Cricetulus griseus: one gene and its partners. The protein of the gene in region 3 binds, or shares a complex with, the protein of the main gene of each other region. Links are inferred from orthologs where the notes say so. Each region holds a gene or a part of one and is shown on either strand. Other genes may lie near its edges.

Evidence for each region.
Region 1: Polr1h (region 3) and Polr1e share a complex: the UniProt entries of both Homo sapiens proteins name them as parts of the RNA polymerase I (Pol I) complex. The link is inferred for Cricetulus griseus from reciprocal best matches to the Homo sapiens genes POLR1H and POLR1E.
Region 2: Polr1h (region 3) and Polr1f share a complex: the UniProt entries of both Homo sapiens proteins name them as parts of the RNA polymerase I (Pol I) complex. The link is inferred for Cricetulus griseus from reciprocal best matches to the Homo sapiens genes POLR1H and POLR1F.

The regions. Positions count from the first base shown.
Region 1 is NC_048595.1:98,426,714-98,430,348, forward strand, and holds part of Polr1e (DNA-directed RNA polymerase I subunit RPA49), read right to left. Parts: intron 1,607-3,635; coding exon 1,548-1,606; intron 804-1,547; coding exon 659-803; intron 39-658; coding exon 1-38. UniProt on the Homo sapiens protein: Component of RNA polymerase I (Pol I), a DNA-dependent RNA polymerase which synthesizes ribosomal RNA precursors using the four ribonucleoside triphosphates as substrates.
Region 2 is NW_023277425.1:46,310-50,531, forward strand, and holds the start of Polr1f (DNA-directed RNA polymerase I subunit RPA43), read right to left. Parts: upstream 2,900-4,222; 5' UTR 2,865-2,899; coding exon 2,611-2,864; intron 1-2,610. UniProt on the Homo sapiens protein: Component of RNA polymerase I (Pol I), a DNA-dependent RNA polymerase which synthesizes ribosomal RNA precursors using the four ribonucleoside triphosphates as substrates.
Region 3 is NW_023276806.1:228,752,037-228,756,378, reverse strand, and holds the start of Polr1h (DNA-directed RNA polymerase I subunit RPA12), read right to left. Parts: upstream 2,927-4,342; 5' UTR 2,884-2,926; intron 1-2,883. UniProt on the Homo sapiens protein: Core component of RNA polymerase I (Pol I), a DNA-dependent RNA polymerase which synthesizes ribosomal RNA precursors using the four ribonucleoside triphosphates as substrates. Can mediate Pol I proofreading of the nascent RNA transcript.

The DNA of each region.
Region 1 (3,635 bases), on a different chromosome or scaffold from region 3:
ATCTTGCAAGTCATCCTGCATGGCATCGCTGACCAGAGCTTTCAATTCAAGGAAATTCATATGAGTGTCCCCCTGTCTGGCTGCAGGCTCCCCCACACGCCATGAACCCTATGCAATGGAGACCACATGGTCCAAAACTCAAATCTGAACACCTGCCAAGATCTGAACTGACCATCAGGCTGATGCTCCAGGAGTCCCAGCCATGCAGAAGGTGGATACAGTGTGTTTGCTCTCAACTAACTCAGAATAGGGTTAAAAAGACGCGTGCTGGGGGCTGGAGAGATGGCTCAGTGGTTAAAAGCACTACTTGTTCTTCCAAAGGTCCCGAGTTCAATTCCCAGCAACCACATGGTGGCTCACAACCATCTATAATGAGATCTGGTGCCCTCCTCTGGCCTGCAGGCAACATGTAGACAGAACACTGTACACATAATAAATAAATAAATTAAAAAAAAAATAGACTTGTGCTAATAATCACTACACAACATCAGAGAAGCTATGGCCACAGTTTCTCGTGGTTCCAGAGTCATTCCTGAGCAGGCCCTCAGCAAGTAGCAAGAAAGAATCCAGCCTTCAAGCCCACCACTTGCATATGGAGGTGAGTGACAGATCTCAAGTCTTTGTGGGCATACTCTTTACCCAAGCTCCAGCTGCTTACCGTTCACACCCTTTGTATCAATGATGTTCTCTGCAGCTTTAGTTACTGTGAGATTCAAAGATTCGCTGCCAACTTTGTTCATTCTCCTGGAGTTCAGGGACCGCTTCTGCTTGGTGCTTCCAAAGGCTTCAATGCAAGAATCCAACTGTGTAAGAAACAAATCCAATCAGGAAGGACAGGCTGGGCAGGCTGACTGTTCCACGTATGTAAGCACAAGCATGCTCTGGGCTCCCTGAGCCAGGATTACCTCATCTGTCAATCCTTCTCATACCTGTCCACCTCAGAGGTCTGTTCCACATCAGAACTGGGATTTGATAATACTGACTCCCAGTTACAAATCTATAGTTAGTTTTCCATCAGTACAAAAAGACAACTTGACTGGAATTAGGGTTGGTAAATCTGTGGCACACAGCCTGCCAATATGCTATTTGCTCCAGTAACAGGACACTGTTAATAAACCACTCAGTCTCCCTGAACCACAGAGGAGTCTTCTCTTTGCAGTGGTCCAACAGCACTGCAGGTTCAGTCTGCCACCCTGTGGTGAGATCACTTCGCTAAGAATCCTTGATCTACACCGAGAAGCTCAAAGAACTTACTTTGTTTGCATGAGTCTCAAGGTACAACCATTTTCTACAATGTGGACCAAAACCTAAGATGTTTTCTGCTATACCTCCATCAGCCCAGAGAACAGGGTGCAAATACTAACATTAGCTGTGTTCACCTGGCCAGGGCAGCAGCTCTCTGGGAGACCTGAAGGCCTCTGCAGGTAGCAACCAGGCAGAGCCACAGACCAATTGAACTGGAACAGCCAGAGAGGCCCACATTCAAGGGCGCTGTGACACTGATGGGTAGACCAGGCCCTGAAGGAGCTTCCCTAACTACTGCTCACCTTTTCCCTGAAAGTCTTGGCCTGGTTCTCTGGAGGAGGCTCCTGTTCAATAGCGTCTTCTATAGAAACACAGGAAGAAAGCACACTATGAGACTCAGAAAAACACAGAACAGGAAGAAAGCACACCATGAGGTTCACAAGTGAGTATTTTACTGTTTTGTTTTTTAATGGGGTCTCACTATGTTGCCTAAGAAGGTCTTACACTTGTGAGCTCAACTGATTCCCTGCTCTCAACCCCACAAGTAGGGGAGACTGCAGCCAACTGTGCTCAGCTCTGCAAGGCCTTAAAAATATTAATAGTGCTTGGTATTTATTTAATATTCATCTAAGGAAAACAGATTTCCTTATTCCGGATTTCCCTAACATGAATGTACACTGTGAATACTGACTGTATACCTCAGTGCACAAGTAAGAGAACTGGGTAATGGGTGTCCTCTGCTCCAACCTCTTACTTCATAAACAGGGAAAATGAGGCCTGCAGACACAGTGACTGGCCCAGGCATTTTCCAAGCCAGGCCAGAGGGAACAGAAACCAAGTCCTCAGTTCTTCCTGTCAGTAGATTTGCTTTTCTAGTCAAAGACCTAAAGGCAGGTGTGAACATAATTCGGATGTTTTCACTCCCCAACTTCCCTCAGAGTACTCAAGGAGTGAGCAGCATAACCTGGCGGGCAAAAACACAAGCTCTGCAATGGCCCTGCCTGAGTTAGCTCAGCAGCAGGTCACTGACTCAGCCAAGTTTCAACGCAAGGAGAGAAAAAAAAAAGCCAGGTGGCCAGGTGGTGGTGGCACACACCTTTAATCCCAGCACTAGGGAGGCAGAGGTAGGCAAATCTCCTTAAGTTCAAGGCCAGCCTGGACTACAGATGGAGTTCCAGGACAGCCAGAACTACACAGAGAGACTCTGTCTCAAAAAAACAAAGAAAAAAAGCAATTAGAGTACATATGAAGTAATCATGGGTGCTTATGAAAGGTGTTCAGAATAGTGATGGGCACACAGCAAGGACCCAAAACTAAAGTTGTGCATGTGCTAGCCAGAACAAGCCAGGGCTTTAAACTGCACGAAACACAAATGTGTCTCGTCAAGAGTTAAACAACCCCAGAGTGTGAAGAGATGACTCAGCAGTTAATAGCACTTGATGCCCTTGCAAGAGGACCCAAGTTCAGTTCCATATGACAGCATCCATATGACAGGTAACAACCATGTGTAACTCCGGTTCCAAGGGATCCAACTCCTCTTCTGGCTTCCATGAGCAATGCATGCTTGTGGTACACAGACACACATGCAGACAACAGAACCATACACATAAAATAAAATAAATCTTTTTTTAAAAAAAGAATCAAATGTGGTGGGCTGGGAGAAGGCCAGCAGGTAAAGGTGTTTGTCACCAAGTTTGATGACTGGAGTTCCCATTCCTGGATCCACATATTAGAAGGAGAAAATCAACTTGCTTGAATTGGCCGTTGACTGCCACACATGCATTGTGGTGTACACACACACACACACACACACACACACACACACACACTGATAAACCAATGTAATAAAATTTCACATCTCCATTGGAGATGGTTCAGTGTGTTAGAGAGCTTGCTATCCACACACGAGGACCTTGGTGTGAATCCCCAGAACCCATGTGAAACTGGGCATGGTGGCACACATCTAGGATCCAAGAGCTCCCACAGTAAGATGGGAAGCCGAGACAACAGAACCCCAGATGCTCAAGGGGTAGCCTGCCAGCCTACTCAGAGCCAACAGACAGTGTCTCACACAGGTCAGTCAGGACCTCCCTATGTGTGCTGTGGCATGTGAACACCTGTACTCCCACACAAGAAGAATTAAGTCTGTGGTGGGAAAGAATGTACTATGAGACACCTCCCTTAATATTCTGTACTGATGACTATTCTTCTTGCTTTAAAGGCTGGTTTCTGAGACAATATCTGTAAATGCTGAAGAGATGGGCTCTTATTTGTCATACAGTCCTTAGTTTAGTACTTGAAGAATGTAAGGAATCAATAAGTGATTCATTTAAAAAAAATATTGCTGGGTGGTAGTGTCGAACACCTTTAATCCCAGCACTCAGGAGGCA
Region 2 (4,222 bases), on a different chromosome or scaffold from region 3:
AAACCACTCCTCTACCACATGTAAAAATTTAGTACTATTCGTAACCTACTTAGTTCAATTGAAAGGAGGATTTGAGCATTTAAGACTTCTTTGGAACTACTAGGAGAGAGTGCATTTGACATCTTTAAATAACCCAAGGATGCCAAATGGAAAAGAATGGGCTTTGTTTTATTTCACTTCCCCACAACTGGCCTCTTACAGATTCAACTTAAAAGTCATAATGTGATTTTAGAAAACCACTTTCTCTAAGAGAACAGTCCACAGTTGAAATGGGACACCTTTCTTAAAAATCCTGCCACTGAGAAAAGAAGGGCAAGTCTGTCAGGCAGGGAATGCTGGTGAGATGACTTAAGCAAAGGGGAGTCCGGGAGGAGTCTCAATCTCCCCCTCCCCCAATTTAAAAAGGATACAGATCTATGAATGCTAGAGGACAAGTCTGAAAACATAAACTATACAGGATAAATAGTTAATTAATATTATAATACAATTCCCAACATTCTTAATGGTTTTACCCTCCCTTGCTTTATTAACACTCTTAATACTGGAATAATACTGAAACTTAATCTGTACTGGGGGAGAAAAAAGGTTTCATTAAGCATACCTTCAAGAAAGGAAGGTATCCAGATAAACTTAAGAGTATATTCTATTCTACACAGGTGCATTATCCAATTCTGTTACAGAAATTATCAGTTTATAATAACTGCTTCAATTTTTCCCCAATGGCAATACTACATAATTGCCTGCATTTTCATATTTAATAATCACCTTGTATATTCTTAAATCTTTCAAACTTCTAATCATTTTCCTTAGATAATCACAAAAATTGCTAATTGATCTCTGTCTACTGCCTCTCTCTATTTAAAATATCACCTTGTATATTCTTAAATCTTTCAAACTTCTAATCATTTTCCTTAGATAATCACAAAAATTGCTAATTGATCTCTGTCTACTGCCTCTCTCTATTTAAAATATCACCTATTCGAAATTGTTTCTTAAATTGCAGCTATCCCAGGGACTGCAGACATGCACTACTCCTCTCAAGAGAGTACCATGTCTCAGTTGGAGGCTAATAAGTGGATTAAACAACAACTGTACTGTAAGAACCACAAGCAGATGACTCAGGAGTTAAGAGCACTTGCTGCTCCTGCAAAGAACCCAGGTTCCATTCCCAGTACCCACTTGGTGGTTAACAACCACCCACTTCTGAGGGCTCCGGGCATGCACATGGTACATATACAGACAAGTAGGCAAAACACTCATGCACACAAATAGGTCTAATACAAAAAAACAAAGTAAAATAGACAGTGACAGGCAGGCAGGCAGGCAGGCAGGCAGGCAGGAAGGGGGGAGGGGAGGGAGGGACGGACAGAGGGACAGACAGACAAAGGCAGAAGGGAAAGAACAATAATGACCATCTTCTGAGTCACCTCCCAGTCTTTGAAACTCCACTGAGGAATCAATGACATCCAATGTTTCACCTGACTTAACCGTCAATGCAGATACACTTTACTATGCTCTGGTCCATCTGTCTATGCCACTCGCTGGTTGGAATGCCACCATCTAACTACCACCCTATTGTGTTGTTCTCAAAAGTTACAAGATCTAACTTCACTTCTCTATATACAACTTATTTTAGGTCTGTCAAGTTTTAACAGTTCTCTAGATCTAGCTTACATTTATATCCCCACAGTAGCTCAAAGCTCTTTGAAAGTAGGATTTTACTTTTATTTGTCTTTCTATCCAACTGCCTAAGGCATACAGACATAACGGGATGTACCAGTGCTTAGTCTAGGCGGGCTTAACAGTAATGGGGTTGGTTGTGCCCAAATCCTCGAGAAGTGGTAACAGCTTTAGATAATTTGCCTAAGAACAGTCACCACAGAAATCCCTGCAACTCCGAAGTTTCACAGAATTAATGAAGGACAATGATGTCTCGGGGAATCCATACGCCTCAGGCTTAGGACCTCGCTCCCTCCACAATAATTTGTTATGAAGTACTAAGGCATTACCACTTCCGCTTGAAATGCCGAGATGTAATTCTGAGACATTTTGTTTTTGAGGTTGCAATTGAGCATCTTAATATAAACATGCTAATTTTATTTTGTTTGTGTCGAAAGAACGGTTCCTACAAACAGAACTAGGCAAAGGGGGATATTCACCATGCGTTCCCCGATTGGGCCCTAGAAAAGAAAACCTCGGGAGATGAGCCTAAGCAAACAACAAACGCGCCTAGGTTTTGCCAGGAAACGACTTGTTTATATATGCTGTCTTCCAAGGACGCAGAAAGAAACCGGTATACTGCCAGCAAAACTGCACTACGAACGAGAACACACCCGGAAGGGGCTAAGTGAAGCTTTCGCAAGCTCGGCCCGCTGGGTCTCGGGACCCCGGGCACTCGGGGTCGCCACACTGGGAGCGCTGTGTGCACGGCGGGCGCAGCCGCTCCCGCTGCTGTCAGGAAGGAGCTGGGCCCCGGCGCGGACGGCGACCCGGGATCCTCGTCTCGGAAGGCCGAGCAGCAGCCGCCCGTCCGCAGCGCGGGGATCCCGGGGCCCGCCAGGGGCGCAGGGCGCGGCGGGGCGCCGGAGGGCGGCAGCGCGGGGACCTCACCTCTCCGAGTAGCGCAGGAGCTCGGCGTCCAGCTGCTCGCGGATGCCCGTGCGCTTCCGGCTCAGGTAGCGCGGCGACAGGGCGATGTGCCTGCGGTGCGGGCCGGCCGCCAGGCACGAGTAGCGGCCGCTCACCAGCGCGCACGCCGCGGCATAGCTGGGCAGCTCCAGGCAGGGCACGACCCCGGCCGGACCCGCCGCCGGCCGCTCCGAGCCCGCCCTGGGCCGCGGAGACTCCACGCAGCCCGCAGCCATGCGGCTCGCTGGGTGCTTCCGGGGCGCGCGGCTGACGCCAGCGTCCGCGCCCCGCCTCCGACGCCCGATGACATCATCAACCAGCGACCGGCCCTGGCGGGGGGACTTTTTTAATCTCCGGAGGCTGCATTAGACGTGTGTGACCAGCAGAGGGCAGCTGCTCGTTCCCAAATCCAGACAAGCGGCCGCAGAGGTAGAGCATTTCTCACTGGGAAGTGTGCGCTGTTACCGGGAGGAGTTTGATTTTAGCGATCTGGATACTAGGAACTAAAAAAGGCAGAGGCCCAATATAGCCTGATTTTTTTTTTTCAGTCTCTTCAGTCGCTTTCAATGCTGGGCCAAGGTCTAATAAATTACTATTGCTGTGTGTTTTGGCTTTTTTGTTTTTAGATAGTGTCTCTCCCTGTAGCTCTGACGGGCTTGAAACTCAGAGGCTGATTCAGATCTCTTAAGAGATCTCCCAGTCTCTGCTTCAGGAGAGCTGCGATAAAAAGCATGCACGCCTGGTTAAGGTTTTCTGAGCCTTAATCGGGATGCCCTTTTCCAGTTGCAATGCTGCCTGATAATTGCTTATGCTCTGAAGCTGTTTTTCAGTTAAGGAATGAAGCATTAGTGGAGTGTGTTTCCTTTGTTGAACCCAGTCCTACACAGAAGCCCACAAATCTCAAAAGGCAACATCTGAACCAAAACCACCATATCTCTCCAATCTGGCTTCCCTCTTCTTTCTGCTAAATCACTGTGAGGGTGTCTTGCCATGCTTTTCACGTGGCTAAGCCCCCCATCGGCCTTGGGCCTTTGTGGTACACCTAAATATGAATCAAATTAGCAGGAAGACTCAAAGAAGAAGCAAGGCTCCATTTGGAGAGCACTGTCCAAAGTAAACTGTTCCCGTGGCTTCTACAACCTCCCTACCTTCTTCAGCAAAGACACCTAAGCACTGGGTGTGGAACTGTACTGTAGATACAGCCATTTAGACTAGGATCCACAACGCTACCTTTTTTTATTTTATTTTTTAATTTAATTTTTTTCTAAATATTTATTTACTATGTATACAGTGTTCTGCTTGCACACAAGGATAGGGCATCAGATCTCATTACAGATGGTTGTGAACCACCATGTGGTTGCTGGGAATTGAACTCAAGTCCTCTGGAAGAGCAGTCAGTGCTCTAAAGCTCTGAGCCATCTCTCCATCCCCCTTTTTTATTTTTTGTTCTTTTTCTTTTTTATATATTTGAATTACAAACAAGATTGAATTACATGAGGATCCCAGTTCCCTTCTCCCTCCCTTCCTCCGCTACCACCCCCAACTAAAATCCTACCTATCATATCTCCTTTCTTCTAATCTACACCTGACTCAA
Region 3 (4,342 bases):
ATTGGATAATTCTAATGAGGCATTGTACAGAGCTATTCCCATTGGTACAACAGACTCAATTCCCCCTCCCTCCGCGTCCAGATGGCTGACCTTGGGGGCGGAGACCTTGGGACGGAGTGTTTCTCATCGGGCGGGGGCTCAGGGGCCGGGCTCCAGGCCGGCTCACTTGGTGTTTGCCCTCGTGCCGGCCCACCTGGTGCTCGTTCTCGGGCCAGCCCATCTGGTGCTCGTTCTCGGGCCAGCCCACCTGGTGCTCGTTCTCGGGCTGGGCGTGCGGCTGGTGGCGGGGGAAGTGGAAGCCGCCGGGGGTGGGGATCGGGGAAGCCGCCGACAGGAGGAAGAGGAGACAAACTTGAGAAAGAAAGGGCTAAGGGGCAGGGGTCTTTCACCTTAAGCACACAAGAAACATACAGGTGGCTAGGTGAGGTCTCATTTCTGTAATTAATTTTCAGCCTGACTGTAACTGGTTTTAACTTAGTAAAATATTTGAAACTTAGCACAGCTGAATTTAAGACTGCATAGGGTTACATTATAGTCCTTAAACAGTAGCTACAAGTACACATTTTAGCTGCTTGCTCAAATGAGACAGGGTTTTTCTGTGGCTTTGGACCCTGTCCTGGAATTCAATATGCTGGACCAGGCAGGCCTTGAACTCAAAAAGATCCATCTGCCTCTGCCTCTGGAGTGCTGGGATTAAAGGCGTGTGCCACCAACACCCTAAACTTAACTTCTGAAAAGATAAACATCTTATAATAGATTAGCAGCTTTTATAAAACAAGAATTTTACATTGTCAGGCTTTGCTTAAAAATAATTTTAAATTGAAGCTCTTTAAGTACAAACATTAATAAAAATAAACATTTAAAAAACTGGTTTTAAAAAGAAATTTAAATTCCCTTAATATCTTTCTGTAATATATAGAAGCATTAACACTTTAAATCTTAACTGAAAAGCTTGTTTCTAAGATGGAACCTCTAATTTCCACGCGGTCATCTTTAGTCAGGATGGCGGTTTAAGTATCTTTTTTCAACTTCAGCAAAATGGCTGCCAGTCAGCCATGTGACCAGTTTGCCATGTGGCTGGTTACAAAATGGCCATAACTTGCACCCTTTGCTTAACATGCTTGTAACAGAACTTAGGTTATACCAGGAAAAAGAACATTTTAAAACAAGTATACATAAATTACTTGAGAAATAAACAGGACTTTTTAAAAACAGAATTAGCTTAATATGGTTAAAATTTTAACTTATATTACCATTTTTAAAATTTACTATTTGTTGACATGAGAAACCATAGCAAACAGTTTACATTTTTCTCTTTTAATAATCTCTTTTCTGACCTTCTATGACTTGCTTTAACTTTCTATAACTTTTTATAGTTCTTTCCTCTGATTTTCTTAGACATTCTTAGACAAATTTTTCTTTTTCCTTTTTCTCTTTATTATTTAAGTCTCCTACATTTTCTCTCATTTCTCAGTCAATGTAAAAATTTTTATCAAAGTCCCTTTTACAGTTTTTAATAACTTTTAATAACTTTAAGGCCTTTTTTTTTTTTTAGAAGTCCGGATCAGGCCAGATAAGTTCATACGCCCCAGCTCCATGTGCTCAAGGCAGAGACCTGGGGTGGGGGTGTTGGTGGTAACCCCAGACCCTTGGCCAATGCAGGGGTGGGATAATGGGATAAAGACCCCCTCGGTCCCCCTGCATACCATGTGTGTGGAGCACAGAGAAGGCCGAGCAGCCAGGCAGATGGCGGGCCTTGCAGCCATGTTCCCTCAGAGCAGGGAAACTCCCTTGGCAGGCAGGATGGCAGCTGGGGCAGAAACAGCCCCACTTGGCATGCCTCACAGACCCGCAGGTGGGGATAGAAAGGGGGTGGTGTGGTGGATCCTGAATTGAAAACCAATGATGATAACACAGAATAGACAGGAAAGAACAGACGCCAACCCAATCCGCCCGCGCCGCTTATAAGGCAATGGCGACGGAAGATGGGCTGCAGAACCCAGCGGCTACAATCATCACTAACTGAGGAGGATCCAAGTCCTTGGCCTCCGTTCGTACCTCCTGGGTGTCCTCAGAGCAGCAGTCTGTCCTCCGGGCGCATCTGCTGATCACAGTTGAGGTGGCATCATGTGCTCAGAGCATCAAGAAAAGACCCCTGACCCATGCATTCCATGTGCATGGGCAGTAGGGACAGAAAGAGATGTTTAACACAGACTAGGGTCCTATTCGGAATTTCAGATGGCTAGCCCCGTGGAGATCAACTTGGTTCGAAACCAAGTCTCCCCTATAGATTTCGGAAGGCTGCCGCCCGAACTTCCGCCTTAAACAATTCTTGTAGGCCTACTCACAGATGTCGCCAGAAACCCCAACATAGGACCTCCATATCCACAAAATTAACAGAAATAGTAAAATTGACACACAAGCAGACGGTTAGGGTGTGGGCTGCAACAGATCAGATAACAGATAACAAACCTGTTGCTCAACTGTTCAGTCACCCAGCCCATTCCAATCCTCTAGGCTTAACAGACACCAACAGCAAAACAGGACATCAGACAGGACAAACCCTGTGGCAAAGAAATGGTGCCCCAAACCAAAATTACAAACAACCCTTGGACTTCATCCAGGGCGGAACCAAGGATTCCAGAAATACGTCTATTTCTGTGCACGTCTGCTTACCCTATGGTTCAATTCAAATAGCCCTCGGACTTTTGTCCAGGACGGGACTTTGAAATATGTCTATTTCCCCCTGAAGTCCAAATTACAAATCACGAGTCCTGCGCAGGCTCAGATCAACAAAAGAGCAATTTCAAGTGGCACCAAACCAACAAAAACAAGCAAACATATAACATTGAACATATAAGTTGCGAGCTCGAATCATCTTACCTCCAAGATCGAATCCATTCAGGTGAAGGGTGGTCGCAAATCGCGGACGAGCCCCCAAATGTTAGACCCCCCGGAAAACTCAGGTATCCGGGGTCCCAGGCCACATTCTCGGTCACCCCAATCACCAGGCGGATTCGAGAGCTTGATGCAAACTGCATGAGGCTTTATTGTAATTTAACAAGCTAACCCCATGTTAGCTCGGGTCTTTTACCCACCCGCCGTGGCAGATGGCTCGCAAAAGACAGCTCCTAGGGTCTCCCAAGAGATCTTACAGGGCAGCGTAAGGGGAGTGTCTAGGGGTATGCACAGGCTCACTATTGGTGTGCCTCCAGCCTTGGAGGGCTTGCCCTGTGTTGATTGGCCAACTGGTTGTTATGGCCCATAGGCCCTCCCAGGGTGGTTGCTATGCTTTGTGCGTCATTGCTGAGTGCTTATCCATAAAGCACACCCTGGGTCATAAAGTATAGCGCCACCAGCTAACTTCTGATTGGTTCCTTGTCTCGAGGCAGGCATCTGACTTTCTAGTGACTAACTTCTGATTGGTTCCTTGTCACTAGGCAGGCATCTGACCTCTAAGTGACCAAGACAAGGTTATGGCAAGCATGTGTTCGGCTGTTATGGCTGCTGAAAGGGAAGCTGGTCCCTTCACTATCAGTCTCCACATGAGTTCATGCCCATGCAGAAACACCCACATGAATATCCAGAGCTGTCTAAAGGGTCACAGCATCAAGAAGGTTGAGAACCACTGCTCTAGTAAGTGAAGAGAGTGAAAATGCTAGACTTAGGAGTCAGAATGGAATGGTGAGAACCAATTCCTGGAGAAATGATCTGAGAGCAAGGACATCATTTTCCAGCTATGGGAAGGAAAGGACCAAGCAGGATGCAGGATTATGAAGTCCTAGAGGAAACCCCTAGCCTAGGACCTCAGATCAGGAGGCATGAGAGAAAACATTTTCTTTAAGCTTGGTAGGTTGGTAAATGCCTGTAATCCCAGAGCTTAGACAGGATCATTTGGAGCCAGAAGACAGTGGGCTTCGTAGTAAAGCCCCGTAACAACTCAGGCTGAAAAGTGGAACATCACCATACTCCAGAAAGCTTCATGTACTCCCACTCATAGCCACCTCCCGGCATCCAAGAATGTATTTCTAAGTGGTACTATTTGCAGTTACATTGTGGGGATGAACTTTTATTCATTGATGTTTTTAAATTCATCCTTGAAGATATATAGAACTTAAAATGAATGTGCTAAAAACAAATTACCTGGTCTGTTCACATAATTTGCACTATTGATTTTTTTTCTCAACTTGGAGTTATGCTTTTACAAAGAAAAAAAGAGCAATAACAATTCTATCCTTATGTTTCTAGTTCATGTGCAGGATTTTCTCCAGGACATGTTTGTTGCTCAGTCACTTAACAAGCCTGCTCCTATACCTTGCTATATTCCCATTCCATTGTGGTT